Arabidopsis thaliana: one gene and its partner. The protein of the gene in region 2 interacts with the protein of the main gene of each other region in a pairwise test. Each region holds a gene or a part of one and is shown on either strand. Other genes may lie near its edges.

Region 1 (7,681 bases), on a different chromosome or scaffold from region 2:
AACTCATCAGCCAGATACACAAAATGTAACATTACATTGATAAAATCTGCAATCATATACAGCTTATTTCTAGCCTGGAGCTTTTATCAGGTGTTTTATCAACAATATAATAGACTTTCTGCTGATGTAACGCTTAAGCTAAATTTTTTATTCCGAGTAACTAGCAGCAGAATCAAAGACAGTTCATAAGCAAGCAAAGGCTTAACAGTACCTCAAGGAAAAAAATATCTGCACATTGCATGCATGGGTAAAGGATCTGGGCAGCACTCAGTTCATCAGTCTCACTACGTCCCATAATCTGCACACACCTTCAAGGACAAGAACCAGAGTCATTCAGGTCCCATCATTTCCCTCACATAATTACAACGTCCCAAGAATGGAGAAGATTTAGAAAAGTAACCTTAAGATTCTAGGGAGCTTGTTTTTGCGAGCAATGTCCATCACAAGAGGCCAATACTTATCTGCCTTAGAATTAATTTCTTCGGACGACCACAAAAACTCTACTTTGTCATTATCCATCCCAGCAGCCTTCCATATCTCTTGAAAGTATTCTCCAACCACTCTGATTTTCTTCAAGTCACCACCCATTTTGTTGTTCAACTGAGCAAACCAATCAGCAATCCAAATCTTCACTCTGCAACCAGCTGAAGTCATTTTGTTCACATTGATGACTTTCATCACTCCCTATTAAGAAAACAACAGAACCAAAATAGATTAGCCAACGCTTCCTTCCCACATATGGTAATGGAACAAAGGAAAACTAACAGACCTGAGCAATGTGCATTCTTCCTGATGGTTCAAAGCCGTCGTAGCAAATCGGAGCAGCCTTCTTAGCAAGAAGATTCTTTAGCTCTTCCTCTTGTATACATTCCTCACCGATACTCCTAACAATTTTGTATCTCTTCTCAACTTCTTCACTCATCCTGAAGAATTAGTAAAATTTCAATATCTACCAGACCAATAAGCAGATAACAAGATCTTTTCAATTTTAAATTCCATACTTCTAAATTGCTATAGCTTTTTCATCTCTTCCACTCTAATCAAATAATATAATCCAAATCAAAATTGAAGCGCGAAAATGAAAAAAATTGATGATTGGTAAGAAAACTCACTGGAATCCATCGGACGAAGAAGATGCCTGAGTTGATGAAACGGAAACAGCTTCCATCTCCGACGACAGAGCATTGACGATCTCCGAACTTTGGTCTGCCATCAAATTTAGCCGGCGGCTCCTTCACAAAATTGCGAAATTGCGGAGGATTCTTAGGGTTTACCAGTGGCAGTGATGGAGACAGTTAACGTGCAATATAGCACCACTACGCTTCACGATTTTCACGGTTTGATTCGATTCTCTTTAATTTTGTTTTGGTTTAATCCGGTTACTATAAAAAGGCAACGATGTGTTAATTTAGGAAATAGTTGGTAAAATTTGGAATTTAGTATGGGCCTTAATACTAAAGCTTTAATTATTTAGGAAAGGCCCATTAGATATAAAATAGTTCGGTGGTCTTTGTAACAATGGTGGTTTCGATATACCAAACGTATTCTCGGAGATCATCAGGACTCAACAGCGAGCTTCGGACCCCGATCACGCCGCAGTATTTTTTTTTATCAATTTACCACTCTCTGCGTTGGTTACCTCGCCGAAGACTTCAAGATGTCTGATTCCGACATGGACATTGATGATGATGAGGTCGAACAAAAGGTGCAAGTACATACAATTGTAAGAGAATCTGAATTGTTTGATAAACCACCAATTCAAGCTTCCAATTCCCACAACGGTTAGTATTTGAAATTCGTGATTGGTTACATGGTATTGTTGATTAATTCTGTCAAGTTCGTGTTTTTATTGATGGAAACACCTTTTCCAATTTGGAATTGATGAATTTTGTTCTAGAAGAAAGAGAGAATTGTTAAATTGACTAGATTTAGCTCTGATTAGAGGTTCAAAGACTTGGCAATTAGATTTTCACTGAAGCTCTTTTGTAAAAATTGTGGCTTTAATACCAAGTAAGCAAATTCAATTCTCAGAGTTTTGTGCTTGTTTCTGTAAGGAATCTCTTTTGTTTATTCAAAACAGCAGTTTTGCTAATATGTACTGATTAAACTTGTCTCATGTAGATGTGAAGAGGCATTCTGTAACAACACCTTTAGATGAGCAATCAAAAATCATAAAGGAGCAAGCTTTTGCTCAAGATAATGGTACTTTACCAAGGTATGGCAAAAAAGTTTCTGCTTAAGTTTTGCTGAAACTAAGTTAAGAGGTTGAAGCTTTTATACTGACAAATTCGGTTATCAGATTTCCTGCTCCGGGTATACCGCCAAGAAGCTTTTTCACTGGCGGTGGTGGGAATGAACCAGAACAAAAACGTGCAGCTCTTCCCTGCAAATTTTTTGCTAAAGGGTGGTGTTTCAATGGGGTGTCCTGCAAGTTTCTACATGTGAAAGAGAATTCAAATTGCACTAGTCAACAACTGGCGGAAAATAGTATGGCTGGAAACGGTGGTATCCGGTCTGATCTAGGTACGTTGTACCATGAATACTTATTCTTGTGATTCTATGTGGAGGTAGTTCCAACAATATAGAGGCCGGTGAATATCTATGGGGTTTAATTACTCTTTCTGAATCAACCAATAATTTATTTTGCTTATGTCTATTCAGAAAGAAGAATTTTGGACAGCAGAGAAGGTGTAAGAGTTTCCCAGTTAAGCGAAAACGGTGTGACATCGTTGCCTACCAGAGAGGATATATCTTTCATGAATCCTCAGAGAGTTTTCTCCTCCATGTCTTTTGTGAATCCCCCAGGTTCTCAGAGAGTTTTCCCGTTCAATAACGAGATGCGCTTTATGCCTTCATTTGAAAACATTAGAAGAGAGAGTTTGAAGCAAACGTATGGTGCTGATTTCACTGACAACAGGTCTCTAGTTATTAATAACGCCAATTCCTTCGCATTGAGAAGCAGCTTTGTTCATGAGCATAGACCTTCTATCAGTTCCTATTTAAAAACAGACATGGGATCTGCTGGACCAGCCTGGACAGGATCATTATCCAGTTCTGTTCCTATGAATGATCGTGCTTCTACGGTGGGGGATTTTGAAAATGGGAATAGTTTATCTGGATCCGGATCACTTCCAACGCTGCAAGGGGTAGCTGTTTCTTCTGATAAAGGCGCAGAAGCCAACACTACTAGCACTAAAAAGAAAGTTTCTTCAGATGACTGGGAACCTTCTGAACCTTTTAAAGCATCTTTTACAATTCCACCTTATATTCTTCCCTCGTCTGATGCCCTCTACGATCCTTTCACGGATATAGAGAATCTAGGAGACAGACCTCTTAATGATTCATTGTCAAGTAAAGGAGAACATGCACGGAAAAGTTCCTGCCAGCAGAAAGATGGTGATTCTGCTAGTGGTCCCCAAGCACGGGATTGCAAGAATGATGATAAAAGCAGTTCATGCAGTCAAAATCAACACCAAGAAACCGTGGCAAGGAGTTTGGAAGCACATGGAGTAGTGGAAGGGGTGGCTACGTCAGTGGTTGATCAAAATGATACAGCAACGCCTAGCAAAGAGATTTCTTCGGCTACGGCTGCAGAGAATAGAGTTGTTTTGAAAAGAATCAAACCTGCAGGGCATGATTCTTGGCATAGAAGTGATGGGTCTTCATATAAAAAGACAAAGAAATCAGATGAGATAGATGGTGAAGTGAGGTCAGATGCAGGAATGAAAGTAATGAGACTATTCCGGACTGCAGTTGTGGAAACCATTAAAGAAATGTTGAAACCGTTGTGGCGTGAGGGTCGTCTAACTAAAGACGTGCATAACATGATAGTTAAAAAAGCTGCAGAAAAGGTAGTCGGCGCCGCTGTCCAGTTTCATCAGGTGCCAACTGACACAGAATCAGTTGATCAATATCTTGGTTTGTCTGGAACCAGAATTGTGAAACTTGTCGAGGTGAGTTTCTTAGCTGGAAATAAAAGACACTTAAAGCAGGTAAAAACCTAAGTAGTAAGTATTGCATAAGCTAACAATTCTTATGTTCATTTGCAGGGGTATGTCGAAAAGTATGGTAAACCCTGAGTTATCAAACCAAATGTCACTTGGTGTGGCATGAGCTCAAACTGATGAGATTCCTGTACATTATGTCATCCTTCTTTTACTCAGTTATAGATTTAGTACGTAGCACCTAAATTCTTTGGAACTCCATTCCTATCCTTTACCGATAATGGAATAAGGTTGGAATGGGAGCTTGGTGGAGGAAATGTGTACACATTGTAAAACTCTTCAAAGCTTAATTTATGCTTAAAACAGTTTTCTTTTACCTTTGGGAATATGATTTAGAATGTGATCTTTAGAAGTAATGTGATAAAGAATGGTTGCCTTGGAAGCAGAGGAAAAGAGAAAGAAATGGAATAATGTTGAGGTACGTTTCCTAACTATTTGATAAGTAATTTAGCTTTGTGAAACCAAGATTTTTCAAATTAGAAGTTAGTTTTAGTTTTGTATTTCTCCATCAATATAAGTAAAACCTCTGTAAATTAATACTCGGTAAATTAATAACCTCTATAAATTAATAATTTCTTCCAATCCCGAGGTGAGACTAATGGAAAAAATGACATAAATCGATAAATTAATAAGATAATAATTTTTTTGAAAATCCTATGTAAATATATGGTCTCATTAATATCACAAATTAATAATTGCAGAAATGTATCAACTATATATACATTATATGTAAGAAATTTCTTTAAAATATATTTCTAATATTTTTTTTTGCTTAAATTTGTATTTATTCTTATTTGATATTGAGTTCTAATATTTTATTGTATCAAAAAATTTTGGTGTTGTTTTCTAAATATGATATTACTTTTTACTTGTAATTGATTCTTAAAAAATATTTTCTATAATGAAAAAATCTTAAATTTTTTTTAAAAGTTAATAAATTAGAAAAATATCTCTATAAATTAATTAATTAATCGATAAATTAAAACCTCTATAAATTAATATAATTTTTCGGTCCTAACATTATTAATTTATAGAAGTTTTACTGTAAGTAGAAAGTGGTTTTTGGTTTAGGATAAAGTGCATACGTTTTGTGTACAGTTTTGGAATTAGTTTTATCTTTTTCAAACATTTTAGTGAATCATTTGGACTATGATCATTAGGACATCATGAACTTATTATCTATGGTGGGTTTGTGGAAAACTATTTGATTAGAGTTACTGTTGCTTAATAATATTAACTTCACAAAATAATCAAAATATGTTTGTTGTTCCTATAATACTTTTCCACGAAAGACTTGGGATTCTTTTGATTTAAGGGTCCCTACACTTTATGACTCGTCGTCCTTATCCATATCTCCAGCTCTATACCCACCTTGCATTTTTTTTATTTCCACACTTCTCCCTCACTGCTCACGCTTCTCATGATCAATGGTTTGATCTATATTATAACATTAATGTTATATATTAAGGTCCTTTAAAGTAGGCTTATCCACATCCTAATTTCCAAAGATGGCGTGTATTTTAGCTCTAAACCCTGGAAGTTGCATGTTATATTAAAATGTTGTAAAATGACATATTAATACATAACACACAATTTACAATTATATTATGTATTCATGTTGTTTATTGACAGAGAATAATAACATTTTGGCTAAACGTATCAAATTTTAACGAAAATTCTATGTGCAAGTATATAAACTTCATTTGGTAATTAAGTTATCAATTACTTGTCAATTATTTCTAGTCTATTATAGTATTTCTCTAGATATTTTGTGGGTCAAATAAAAAATGAGAGAACTAGTCGACAAAGGAAAAGAGATATTTTTACGAATAGTTTAAAAATGAGTCTATAAATTAGATGAAGGAAGCCCTTTAGTAAGTACTTCACACTTGACACAATTCTATCCAAAATCAACCCAAAAAAAGAAAGAAATATGTGGGATGAAACTGTAGCCGGACCTAAACCGGAGCATGGCCTTGGCCGCCTCCGCAATAAGATCACCACCCAACCCCTTGACATCAAAGGTATTTATTTTTCTTTGTCAACCATAACTCCGTAATAAACTTGCATATACAGATCTTTGTAGAAACGTATGATCTCATAATTATATCATGTGATGGTTTTTGGAAGGTGTAGGAGAAGGGAGCAGTAGTAAAACTGTGGCGGCGGTGGCCGGGAGTCCTGGAACTCCGACGACGCCAGGATCGGCGCGTAAGGAAAACGTGTGGAGAAGTGTGTTTCATCCAGGAAGTAACATCGCCACTAGAGGAATGGGCACAAACCTCTTCGACAAGCCTTCTCACCCAAACTCTCCCACCGTCTACGATTGGTACGTACTCAGTTTCTGTTATTATTATCTGACCGGACGGTGTAGATCAGATCTAAGATGGTTTGACCGTTGTTGTGATCCCGCAGGCTATACAGCGACGACACTAGGAGCAAGCACCGTTGAGCCGAGAGGGTAGAGTGACATGAGAATGATGTAAAATAATTATGTTCTTTACGCCACGTGTTTATGTTCTGTTTCGTCTATTTTGGCTATATGTGCAATCTTTTATTTGCTTCATGTCGTTTGTGTTTGTTAGTGACCGTTGATTTCCACCATCTGGGTTAGTTTTTAGCTTTTAACGGTGGCGATGCGTCTTCAGTGTCTTGTAATATTTTTACTGTTCGGTAATATTACAATTAGCTTCTCTAATGATTTAGCTAACAATATAACTTAACTTAACTATAATTAGCAAAATGGAATTTAACTTAACCATGGTTGATCTCATATCATTATTTTTATTTTATTTTATTTGTTCATCATTAAAATATCTCAATCATGCATGGTTAGATGAATTCGTTGTGTCAACAAACAATTATGATAGTGATTTGATTAAATTTTAACTGAACTATGGTTGATCTCATCTCATTAAATAACAAAAACATAACAATGGTTAAATGCATTCTTTGTGTCAACAAACCATTATGATAGTGATTTAATTAAAGTTTATACATGTCTTTGGATACAGTTGTAATTTTTTATATATATTTTTTTGTCTGATTTGATATAATTATACAAAGTTACACAAAAAGAACCAATCCAAAGCTCAGGGATCAACCTATTTTAATCACCATGGTTGATCTCATCTCATTAAATAACAAAAACATAACCATGGTTAGGTGAATTCTTTGTGTCAACAAACCATTATGATAGTGATTTAATTAAAGTTTATACATGTCTGGATACAAATGTAATATATATTTAATTTTTTGTCATCTGATTTGATTAAAGAAGAAGATAGAATACAAGGTTACACAAAAAGAACCAACCCAAACCTGAGTCCTGCGGGATCAACCTATTCAAAGCACATTTTCAATACAAGGGGAATATACAAAAGAAGTGTCTCCACCTACACAAAAACACACAAGTTCATAGAGAAGAAAGAGATCTTTCACCATTAAACACACGTTACACACCTTGCAACCAAGAGCTACATACAAATGGAGCCGTAAAAGTCATTAGTTATACTTTGTGCAATGAGATTAGCTCCTTTATAAGTCACTTTGGATTCACTGCCATCTTCTATTCAAAACCTTAAAACGAGATGATAATATTAACACATATACCACAAAAAAGCATTGACCATTTCACATGCCATTCGTTAATCAATTGTAAACAAATTTTATGAAAC
Region 2 (11,762 bases):
AAGACTTGCGTTATATGGTTGATGAGCTTTTGATTATGGAATAAAGAATAACCTATAACTTTCGAGTTTGTCGAAAAGAATCCAAAATAAAAATATACAAATCCCCTCGCATATAAACCATAAACAAAGAAAATCAAAATAGCTAAACAAGAGCCAATAGATGCTTAATCAATCGCATGACGTGTCAATTTTGAGATGTATCATTGGTCCAAGCTTTTGACTTCTAAAAGTCCACTAAACCTTTCTATAATTAGCAAATAATATTTAAACCCCGGAAACTGCTAAACACCATTGCTTCCGGAACACGTAACACCGCTCACTGCTTTCTGTTTCTTACGGTATTTCTCTTCCACCATCAATGAGAAAATCTCTCAATCTTCTTCCCCTTATTCTTCTCTCCAATCATTTTCCTCAGGTTTCCTTTGACTTTTCTCCTTAATCCCGTCGCGGTCTCTGTATGTTTCTGAAGAGTAGTATTTGAAATTTCTGCAAAAATGGGATATATGGACTTGGCGTTATCTTATTCGAATCAAATGCGGATTGTTGAAGCTCCCGCAAGCGGAGGTGGTCTCAGGTCACTTACCTCTCTATTTGATTGAAATTATCTATATATCTACATTATTGATTTGTTACATTCGAAATTTAGGGCTTAGGATTGATCAATGATCTCTGTGTTTGATCTAGTTTAGGTTACTTGAATGAAAAGCCATGTAGAACTTGTTCCATTGTGATCTGTTTTTTTGCTAGCTACATGTTTGTTTCGTCTCAAAGATTATATTGATTCGAACTTTCGTTTTCCTTAACATGAACTCATCACAATGTTTATGAACTTTTGAACTGCAGTCAGAATGGAAAATTTAGCTATGGATATGCAAGCTCAGCTGGAAAAAGGTCATCTATGGAAGACTTTTTTGAGACAAGGATCGACGGTATCGATGGAGAAATCGTTGGTCTATTTGGAGTCTTTGATGGTATTCTTGGTCCCTTTCTTAACAAGAATTTATACATTATGTCTCAATGACATTTTTATGAAGGTTTTATATATATGATCTCAAATTGGATATTGATTAGGGTTGCTTATAAGAAAGAGCAAAAAGTATTCATGTTTGTTTTTTTAATTGTTTTTTGCAGGTCATGGTGGATCCAGAGCAGCTGAGTATGTGAAGCGTCACCTTTTCAGCAATCTTATTACTCATCCTAAGTTCATCTCTGACACCAAATCTGCAATAGGTTTACTTTCAATTTCTTTTCGTTTGGACTTACTATTATTGTTGCTCTAAATCTTGGGATCATATATATTTGCTTTGTGTTTTTGGTTCAGCTGATGCCTATACTCATACAGACTCTGAACTTCTCAAGTCAGAAAATAGTCATACTAGAGATGCTGGTTCAACTGCTTCCACAGCTATTCTCGTTGGTGATCGTTTACTTGTTGCTAATGTTGGTGATTCCAGAGCTGTTATATGTCGTGGCGGAAATGGTACTTTTATTGACATTTTTGATTAAGTCATGACTCTTGGTATCTATTGAAATCTTCTGAAATGAATTCATGTGCTCTTGTAGCATTTGCTGTTTCAAGAGACCATAAACCTGACCAAAGTGATGAGCGTGAACGGATTGAGAATGCTGGTGGTTTTGTGATGTGGGCAGGTAACAAGAAACCGTAGAGTTATTTCCCGCTTTGTGGCTTATTTTCCGGTGTGCCTAACTCCTAGATTGAACAGGGACTTGGAGAGTTGGAGGAGTTCTTGCAGTTTCCCGCGCGTTTGGTGATCGATTGCTTAAACAATATGTTGTTGCTGATCCAGAAATTCAGGTTTGTATCTTCATTTGCTTTGTAAACCACACACAACATCTACTTGTGTTCACTTAAGGTCATGTCTTCAACTTCAGGAAGAGAAGATTGATGATTCTCTTGAGTTTCTGATTCTTGCCAGCGATGGACTATGGGATGTTTTCTCCAATGAGGTTTGTAAAATTAAGTTCTTCTTCGAAAAACTACTTTCATGTTCCGATAAGTATCACATCAAACTCAATGATTGAGATCTCTCTGATGGTCTTTCAGGAAGCAGTTGCAGTAGTAAAAGAAGTTGAAGATCCGGAAGAGTCCACCAAGAAACTTGTGGGAGAAGCAATTAAAAGAGGAAGTGCAGACAATATTACATGTGTAGTTGTACGTTTCTTGGAGAGCAAGTCAGCTAACAACAACGGTTCCAGCTCATCCGAGGAAGCAAATCAAGTGCCAACCGCTGTTAGAAATGACTCAGACCACAAGATCTCAGCCAAAGAAACCAATCAAGACCATACCACAGTAAACAAGGACTTGGACCGCAACACTGACAGTCAAAGCCTGAACCAAAAGCCGATTGCAGCTAGAAGTGCCGATAACTCGAACCAAAAACCAATCGCGACTACAGCAACAGGACACAGCGTTTCTTCAGAACAGAGTGGTTTAACCGGGGAAAAGAGTCAAATGCCAATCAAAATTCGCAGCGACTCAGAGCCTAAGAGTTCAGCCAAGGTACCTAATCAAACGCAAAGCACAGTACACAACGACTTGGACAGTAGCACTGCGAAGAAGCCGGCCGCAACAGAACAGAGCGGATCAACGGGTGAAAGGAATCGAAAACCAATCAAAGTTCATAGTGATTCCGCCGCAAGAAAGACAACTCCCTCTATCTTTAACTAAAACGTCCACTACCTTCTTTTGATAAATGAATGTATCATCTTCATTTAACTTTGAACTATTTAGTGTCCAAAGATTTTGCCTCGAAACTGATTTATCTCGTTCATGTAAGTTTCTTCTCTTTGTCACCCTTTTTTCTGAGGTCTTTAACTTCAACAATGTAATTTCTTTTTGCAGTGTACCAAATTTTGTAAACTTGTTGATTCTAAATAGTTTGAGTACATAACATAAACAAGAACATATTCAAAATCACGATATATACAAAACAAGTTACTTATAAACAGTTAAACACCACCCACTCACTTCTCTTCCTCTTCATCGCCCACAACAACTAAAAATACTCATCAACAAAAAACAAACAAACTCGTTTAAATTAAACGTTCGTTAAAAACCTTATTACTAAAACAAACACCAAACCACCCACCATCTTCCATTTTAGAGTCTCTCCCTCTCTCAATATCTAAAATGTAGGTACAAGTCCGAACCCACTAAAGATACCACCATGACCAACCACATCATTGCTCTCATTTGTATCCGTCCGCTTCGCAAACCGTCCCTTGATTCTCGGTCTCATTTCCGCATACGCTTTCCTTGAAGCATACCTTATAGTCTTCTCAAACTTCCTGTTCTTCCTCTTCTCTCTGTACCTCATTACCCTCGCTTCTCTCTCAGCTGAAGTCAGCGGAACAGCCCGCTGTGTCCCCGGATCAGCTCCACTGGTTGCAGGACCACCGTAAGGATACGATACATCAGCCACCGAACCACCATCTGGCACCACTCCCACTTCCATCGACGATGATGACACCTAAATTACACCAACCATTGGATCAAGCCATTATAATAAGTACAATCAAACTGACAAATACTATAGGTTATAACTTATAAGTGAATATGATTAGATCTACACTAGATTAAACAAAACAAATGAAAAAGAAGACACCAAAATTCTTTGATTAATACATAATTAGATACTTAAATTAAGGATTATCATAATATTTCTTCTAATTACAGATTAATTTACACATGTTGCTCGCATAACCCTAAATTTTAGTCAGCCAATCATTACTTCCCAATAAATTAATAATTTTAAGTATCATCAAAAGTCTAAACCCTAAAGATCTAAACTTTTTCGTTAAAAATTGATAAATAATTGTTAATCAAACATAATCAATTAAATTAATCACTGTGATTAAAGAACATTAAGCTTACGCTGTGACTGATGCAATTGTAACCACCACCATAAGTAAAGCCTTTAGATCCTCCGGTAAAATCCATTTCAAAGCAATTCTCGTTCACCGTCGGAATCCTAACCGTCCGATTCTCCACCGGAACAACACCATCAGTACCGGAGCTATTCTGCTCTAACGATTCCACCTTCGGATCAACATTTCCATAATCCAGATCCAGATACGGATCCGGATCCGAGAACAAATACTGTTGACCAGTGTTCATCTCCGGACTATCTCCCGGAACTTCCTCAGCTGAAGTAACAGCAACGATCCCCGCCGTCGCCGTCGTTGTAGTCTTTGGATTGGGAAGTAACAGCCACGAAGCAGCTTCTTCCTCCTCTTCTTCACGGCTTCCGTTACCATCTATATCGGAGAAGTAACAGTCGTCAAGGAAATTAACGGCGGTGTGTTTAACGGAACCGTCACTAGAGACGGAATCGTAAAACGGAGTAACGGGAACGCGTTCGTGACGGCGAGCTAACGGATTAGCCGAGTGGATATCACGGTCGCACGTGACGCATAACGCGGCCGCGTCTGCTTTGCACGTGACGTGTGCCGGTGCTTGCTCGCACACTTCACACATCCACACGCGCGCGTGTCGTGACGCGAGTTTGTTCGCCGCGTGGACTTTTGAATCGCAGCTTAAGCATAGAAACGCTGCGTCTGGTCGGCAGTATAACGCCGCCGTCGCTGATTTGCACGAATCGCAGAGCTTTGACGCCATTTTTCTCTCTCTAAACCTCTTCTTTTTCTTCTCTCTATGTTTCAGTGTCTCTCTCTCTCTCTTTCTTTTGTGGTTGGTGTTACTATTGGCTTCACATGAGCGTGTCAATGAGTCTATCCATGTGGGGTCCATGGGTATCCATCTAGATCGAATGAAAAGTTGACACGTGGTAAAATCTTAGCCAAACAACGTAATTTTATTTCTGATGAAATTACTTGGCATTATAGTTCTGTGTGTTCTTTATTTCTTTATATAATTGTAATCGTATGATGATGATACTTGTAATCATAATTCTGGATCGTCGACATTTGGCAACAGGTGTTTTATTTTAGCAAATGATGCGTAGCAAATTTGTCTACGAACTTTTTTATATGATTTATAGGTTATGAATGGAGGCAGCGGACAAAGCGGTCTAATTTGTCTGCGGTTTACTCCATCTCATTTTTGGGGCGGACTATAAATCGCTGTAAACCAAGTTTATTTGTATGTAAAAACGGTCTGCAGATGGTCCGCAGCGGTTTTCTTCTATTTTTTTTGGTCCGGACCACTGCGGACTATTTTTGATGAATGATAAAACAAAAAACGATCTGATCCATTGACGGTTTTGTTCGCCCCAACCGTCGTAACCATTCAAATCCATAAGCTGACACAGAGAGTGGTTCTATTGCAAAATAAAATGAAAAAAGTGGTGAAGAAGTATGGGTAGATGAGTTTTAGGACCACCACCATGAGGAGCAAACTTAAATGGAAACGATACTGTGACTAGCGAGGATAAAGTAAATGGCCGGTGGGTAGGTCGGTCACTAGTGGGCTGAATATGGGCCTTATGTGGACCATTGGTTTCTAGTTATTACTGATATATTCTGCATGTATGTGTTTTGTTGTTCACTAAAATGCTTATTTCAGCCCAATAACTTTATTTCTCAATTTGCTAAAAGTCACAACACAAACTCACTGGTTTCACATAAACTTATTTCTTTTTTTATCAACAAAGAAATCAACGCCCTCTAGATAGTCATCAAAAATACCTCTTCAAAATTTCATGGTTAACTGCACCGTAACTATTCCACACATAACTCCAGGATAAGACCTTATAAATTTTTACTATCCTTATTACAATATAAATAAAGACTTATTTCAAAATTAGTAACTCGCATATTATATCTATTGATCAGATTTTGACATGTATAAAATATATATATATGTAAAACCAATATATGCTTCTTTTTTTACTAATAATTTGTTGTAATTTTAGTATTTTAGATTATTTATTTATTTTTTTTTTATTTATTTTGAATTATCTAAGATTCATTTATCATGCTTCTCATTTCTCTATTATTCTGATTTAATTGTGTCAAATCAATTTTTTTGGAAATTTTATTAGTTAAGCATAAATCAGAACTAGACAGAACACAACAGGCAATAAAAGAATTGAGAGTACAAGATGAAGATTTTGAAAATCGCGGTGGACTGATTTCTGCAAAAAGAAAAAAGAAAAAAAGAGTATTTATGAGAAAGTGAAGAGAATCGTCATTTATTTTAGGCTTTGATAATGAAATAAAATGAAAAATTTCACTTTCTTATGAAAACTCTTTTTCTTTTCTCCATAAATCAAACTTCTACCACGATTTTAAACATTACATCTTGTACTCTTGGTTTTCTCAAAATAAATTTTATGTTGTGTTGTGTCTGACCAACTAATAAAATTTAAAACTTCAAAAGTAAATTTGATTTGACATTATTAAATTAAAAAAAAATAGAAATATATAAGCATGATAATAATTGAAACTTAAATAATTAAAATGAAAATAAAAATTAGGAGTGATTATCAAAACTCTTAATTAGAAAAAGAAAAAAAAACAATATTGAAAGTGTCAGAATCATACATCATGAAAAATGTGTAACCGTATTGATTTGTGAAAGTTTGATTCAAATGAGCGTTGCATTAATTATGAGTTATGATGTAGGCAGAGTCGCATCGCCGCGTCAGGTAGTTGCAGCAAATAGAGCAAATTCATACAACTGTTCCAAAGTCAAACATATTGAAACTCTTTGAAGCCAATCTGTGAACGGACACATGTCCATATTATGACATCATCTTTCTCAAATTACTTATTTTTTCCCAACCCATAAAAGCATGCCGGCGGCAAAAACCATGGGAGTCGAGTCATCATCAATAAATATGAGTTACGAGCAAAACTATAAAGTGAAAAAACATAAATTGATCGTGTCGTACACTCGTACTGTGCTCTTGTACTATTCTTAAACTAGATGACTTGAAAGAAACGAACATAAGTTTTAATAAAAATTAAACATTGCAGAAATTTAAAGAAACAAATGAAAGGAGTGGGTTTTTTCGTTTAGATTAAAAATGGACAAATGATTGAGGCCTTGAATGGTTCCAATTTTTGAAGTAGTTTTTTTATTTTGATTTTGCAAAAACTAAATAATTACTCATTCATTCTTCTACAAAAAGTAGATTTTTTAAAAAATAGGAAAACTAGATTTTAGGAGTTTTTAGCTATTTCTTCATAGAATCTAAAAACTAAGTTTTGTGGGTTTTTAAAACAATTTACGTAACCCTTTTTTTTTAATTTACTATTATTATTTAATTATGCTATTTTTACCATTTATCAATTCATCCAAAGATAAAATACACAATTTAAAAATGTTTAAACATTAAGATTAAGTAAAAAAATTAAAAATTATATAAATTTCCATTCGAGTTAAAAAAAATATAAAAAAATTTCCATTCTTGATTTTGCAAAAACTAAAATCCACAACAAAAATCAAAAACTTCAAAAATCAAAAACCAAAATTCAAAAACCGAAAACTAAAAACCAATTAAAAACTATAAAACATTCAGGACCTGAGTTAAAATTATGATTAATTTTGCAAAAAATGACATGATAGTAAAAACGCTTATGTATGGCTATGTTAGCGTATAGGTTTTTTCGTTCAGATTACATGTGTGGTAGGTATCATGTAAAGTAAAATGTCGTAAGGTAAAATAACATTTATTTATTTTTGGTCACTGATGTTTATTTATCGAATTAAGGAGGTATACAAAACCGGCTAGTATAACGGACTTCCGGAGCCAACAGCCCCATCCAGAAGAAACATAAAAACTTGAAACAAATGAAAAACATAATTAAACCAAACAGAGAAACTAATGATCTAACTGCAAAAATATCAACTATCTAATTAGCTAGAAATTTTGAAATTGGAAAATATGAAAATCTAAGCATAACCTCTCAATCTTCATGTCTCACTTGCTTATTAGTAGACTTCAAAAGTACAATCATGAAATTCCATTAGATCCTAACCGTTAAGTTTCGAACTTGTACAAAAGACTGTTAGAAAAATCCTGGTAAGTGATGTCGAAACCATCGACTTTACCGGTGAAAGGAATCCCAAACCAAAACAGATTTCGCCCAGATTTAAAGGGAGCATCGAGTGGAGAAGCTTAAGAGATGGTCGTCCATACCGCTTCACCAACCACAACTTAGACAGTTGGCATAGGACCGATGCATATATAGACCAAAGAACTCTGATTATGAGAACAGATACTCTGCAGAAAAACCAAAAGATCCCAGCCAAATAAAGAAAAAAACAAACCTAAAAACTTAAGCCGAACCAACGTCGTGGCTTTGGAAGTCCACGAACGTTAGTCGGAGCCACAATTTTGTCGAAAAAAATGACCAGGAGAAAAAGAGCTGGTATAGAGAGAAAACTTTTCGGAAAAAAAGCTCTCCGATAAAATAACATTCTAATTTTATAAAAAATGACTAAAATTATGTAACTTTTACAAAATAAACTAAAAATCAACTTCCATTTGTTTACATATTTCCCATCACACAATATTTTTTTTTGTTTTTTTTGTTTGCTAACTTGGGTCATTTTGATTTATTTTGGACCCAATAAAAATCAAGTGTTTTGACCAGTAAAGATGTCTTCAGTAGTCACGTAGACACAGTGATGGCTCACACGTTCAGAACGGAAATCACTCCCCTGGTCTTGGCCAAATATATGCTCCTCTAACTTAGAGTGCTAACCACTCGGCCATGAAAATGTAGCTAAACTTCTTAGTTTTACAAGTAAATCTTTAAGCTATAGCAGGATATAGATATACTCTCAAAACTAATTTGGAAATATTAATGATCAAAACAATGACACATTGATACCTTTAATTTAGCAAAATATATTCATATACCAACATTTATACATAGAAACCCGAAATTTCTCAACTTTTTTGTTCACATTTACTACTCTAATGAAAATTTACAATCTCAAGGTCGACAAAAACAGAGGAAAACTACTTCCCCAACAAACAAAAAACAAACCGACAAAAACAGAGAATCCAAAAAAGTACACTCTTGAGAACAGAGCTCAGTAGTCAGTGGTTTTCTTCTGTTACTTTAGATTCCCCATTTTGTCCTTCTTTCTTCTCCATATTAACACAATCCAGGCAAATCTTGGCCGCGACCGGAGTGGCTAAGAAGGTAGGGTTGTTTTGTCCAGCCATGATCACAAGAATCTTCTCCTCAAAAGCCTTAGCCACCACTTTCTCACCGGACTCCGTCTGTTTCTCTTCATCTTCTGTCTGCCGCGAGAGCCTCCAGTAGGAGCAGGCGAGCAACAAGAGAGCAAAGGCTATGAGTCCAAGCATGGCGGCTAAACCACCGAATAGGTAAGGAACCGGTGTACGCCACGGAGACCGTGTCTGAGACTCCACCATTGTTGTCATCATCTTCTCATTTATGTTTCCTCTTATGCTTGGAAATTGCCTCATTGTTTTATATTTCTTATTCTTGGATTTGTTAAAGAACAGAGGAGAAGAAGCTTGAAAATTGTGAAGCTTATACTTTTTTTTTATAACTGTGTAGCTAGTTTGATTTTGTTGGAGTGGTTTGACATTTTATTTATAGTACTGGAAGAGAACAATAGAGGGAAGAGATGTAATAAATATTTCACAATATTATTATAAAACAAAATTGAAGGTAAGTGGGTCACGGAATCTTCATGATACGTTACGTTGCTTTGATCATGCACCAGGTTCGAAGATATTTAATCATACGTTTTTGCATTTAGATATATACCTTGATTTTTTTGTTTATAAAATCCTTTTTGGATAATCAAACTTTAAGATCTCAATTCCGTAATCCCTTTTTTTATTTGTTAAAGACAGTTCCATAATCTCCTCGTGTCAGAAATTATAACAAAAAAAAATATGAGGTAGATATTTGAAAATGTGATCCCTTTTTTGTTCAACTTAATATGTGATCTTACCATGTTATTTATGGCAATGAATTTGTGATTTTTTGGATAAAGAAATCATTTATGAAGATGACATTTGTTGACAAAAGACAACTACAAAAATAGATAAATTATCATGTTTATTTAGAAAATTATTTATTAGTAGAATTGACTGATCTCTTGAATTCCATTGCGTCTTGAAAAACAAGCAATATTGTTTTACTTATTCGTTGTAGATTTGTTTCATATATACATGATCGATCAGCTGAAAGAGTGGCCAACTATACATCTTAATTGATCAATTTAGAGCTTCAAAATCTAGTTTTTTGGAGTTTAAGGTAGTCTACAAGCCCCATATACGAGTAATTTTAAGCTGATTTCTTATAAGTGATATAACAGTTAAAACCATTACACTAAAGTATGAGATAATTTCCACATGATGATTTTGTAAATTGTGGATGCATATATATTTAGTGGAGGTTATGCATATTGTAAGTAGAGTAGTTTGTTTATGTTTTATGAGTGAAGATGATTTATATATGTTCTTGGTGTTATAAATGATTATAAATTTAGGTTTTGAATGATTGCAATAAAAAAAAGCAGAGAAATGTTTTCTATTTTTGGAACGGACAATAAACTGATGTAAATCAAGCTTTTTTTCTACGTAAAAACAATCTATAGTTAGTTTGCCGCATACTTGTTCTATTTTTTACACGACAACAAATTATAGTTCATAAATACTAAAGAAAAGTAGTATAAACCGGAAATGAATTGGAAATGAATTGGTTCGTCCTAACTGGCGCAACTATTCGAACCCTTATAATTTTATCGACATCATATTTGGGAGAGACAAACAGAAAACATAATTATATGATTATTTGGATTTAGGAATATTAAGAGGGCCCAGCTTTGTGTTTTATTCGGGCCCATGAATTTCACATGGCCATTTGTTATTACGCTAAGCCAGGGATATGTGTCTTTTCGATGGTGCTATTTGGATAATGATGTTTGCCGTTAACAGTAAATTATATATGGGTTTACTTTTTAATATTCCACAACAACAATCCATAGATTTTATTTGTATCCATAGTTGGAAGAGAATATATTTCATTTTTTAATCATGTCGATTGCCAAAATTGTTAGATTAATATTTGAACATTAATATAAACCATATATCTACAATCTCTAAATGAATAAACTATGTCTAGTGAACCATAAGATGGATTAGCTCTTATTCTTGGATTATGTTATTTTTCTTACTCACTTATGAGTTATGAGTAATGTTTTTATTCATATGTGTTGTAATATCCGAAATTTGAGAGTTTACTTCATAAATTATCGAAAGAATTCTGATTATATTGAACTCTGTTTTTCATACGTACATCTCCTTTCTGATGAGGTTTTTTTTTTGGTAAAGCTTTCATGTTGATTTTAAATATAATTTCAATTGAAACTTAAATTTGATCTTTTTATATTAATATAGCCACATACTGACATACATAATTTTAGATACAACTCACAAATCAATAAATATTAGTCGTGAGTACTTGTTAACGATCGAAAACTTCAACTGATGGAGGAAAGGTAAGTTTTAATTTTTAAGCTGAGTACATTAAAGCATTATTTGAGTTGTGTGACAATACATGAATGAGATTATGAGAATATATTGATGGAGTTGGAGGAGACATGACAACTTGAAAAGAGAATTATGGGTTGTTCTTTATCAAAAATATAAATTTATGCATTGTCAACTTGTGGATATTTCTCCCTTGATATTATTATTAGGCAAGTAAAGTAAACATGCACTTTCAAAACCTTGGACCCATTTAAAGATATTCATGCATATCTATGACATTGACATACACAC

Evidence for each region. Proteins that work in one complex are often made in the same cells at the same time.
Region 1: the proteins of COL4 (region 2) and FES1 interact in a two-hybrid assay, tested with the Arabidopsis thaliana proteins (one large-scale study listed by BioGRID).

The regions. Positions count from the first base shown.
Region 1 is NC_003071.7:14,308,543-14,316,223, reverse strand, and holds FES1 (Zinc finger C-x8-C-x5-C-x3-H type family protein), read left to right. Parts: upstream 1-1,509; 5' UTR 1,510-1,657; coding exon 1,658-1,781; intron 1,782-2,121; coding exon 2,122-2,215; intron 2,216-2,299; coding exon 2,300-2,523; intron 2,524-2,661; coding exon 2,662-3,953; intron 3,954-4,049; coding exon 4,050-4,079; 3' UTR 4,080-4,512; downstream 4,513-7,681. Other genes in the region: AT2G33840 (Tyrosyl-tRNA synthetase, class Ib, bacterial/mitochondrial), read right to left, coding at 212-308, 401-684, 770-923, 1,113-1,213; AT2G33830 (Dormancy/auxin associated family protein), read left to right, coding at 5,938-6,028, 6,135-6,333, 6,420-6,456. UniProt on the Arabidopsis thaliana protein: Transcriptional activator involved in the FRIGIDA-mediated vernalization pathway, but not in the autonomous flowering pathway. Acts cooperatively with FRI (FRIGIDA) or FRL1 (FRIGIDA-LIKE 1) to promote FLC (FLOWERING LOCUS C) expression.
Region 2 is NC_003076.8:8,582,334-8,594,095, reverse strand, and holds COL4 (zinc finger CONSTANS-like protein), read right to left. Parts: upstream 4,640-11,762; coding exon 3,896-4,639; intron 3,492-3,895; coding exon 3,147-3,491; downstream 1-3,146. Other genes in the region: AT5G24940 (Protein phosphatase 2C family protein), read left to right, coding at 495-574, 844-971, 1,132-1,230, 1,322-1,480, 1,564-1,650, 1,725-1,816, 1,894-1,968, 2,066-2,689; GDU5 (glutamine dumper 5), read right to left, coding at 9,036-9,431.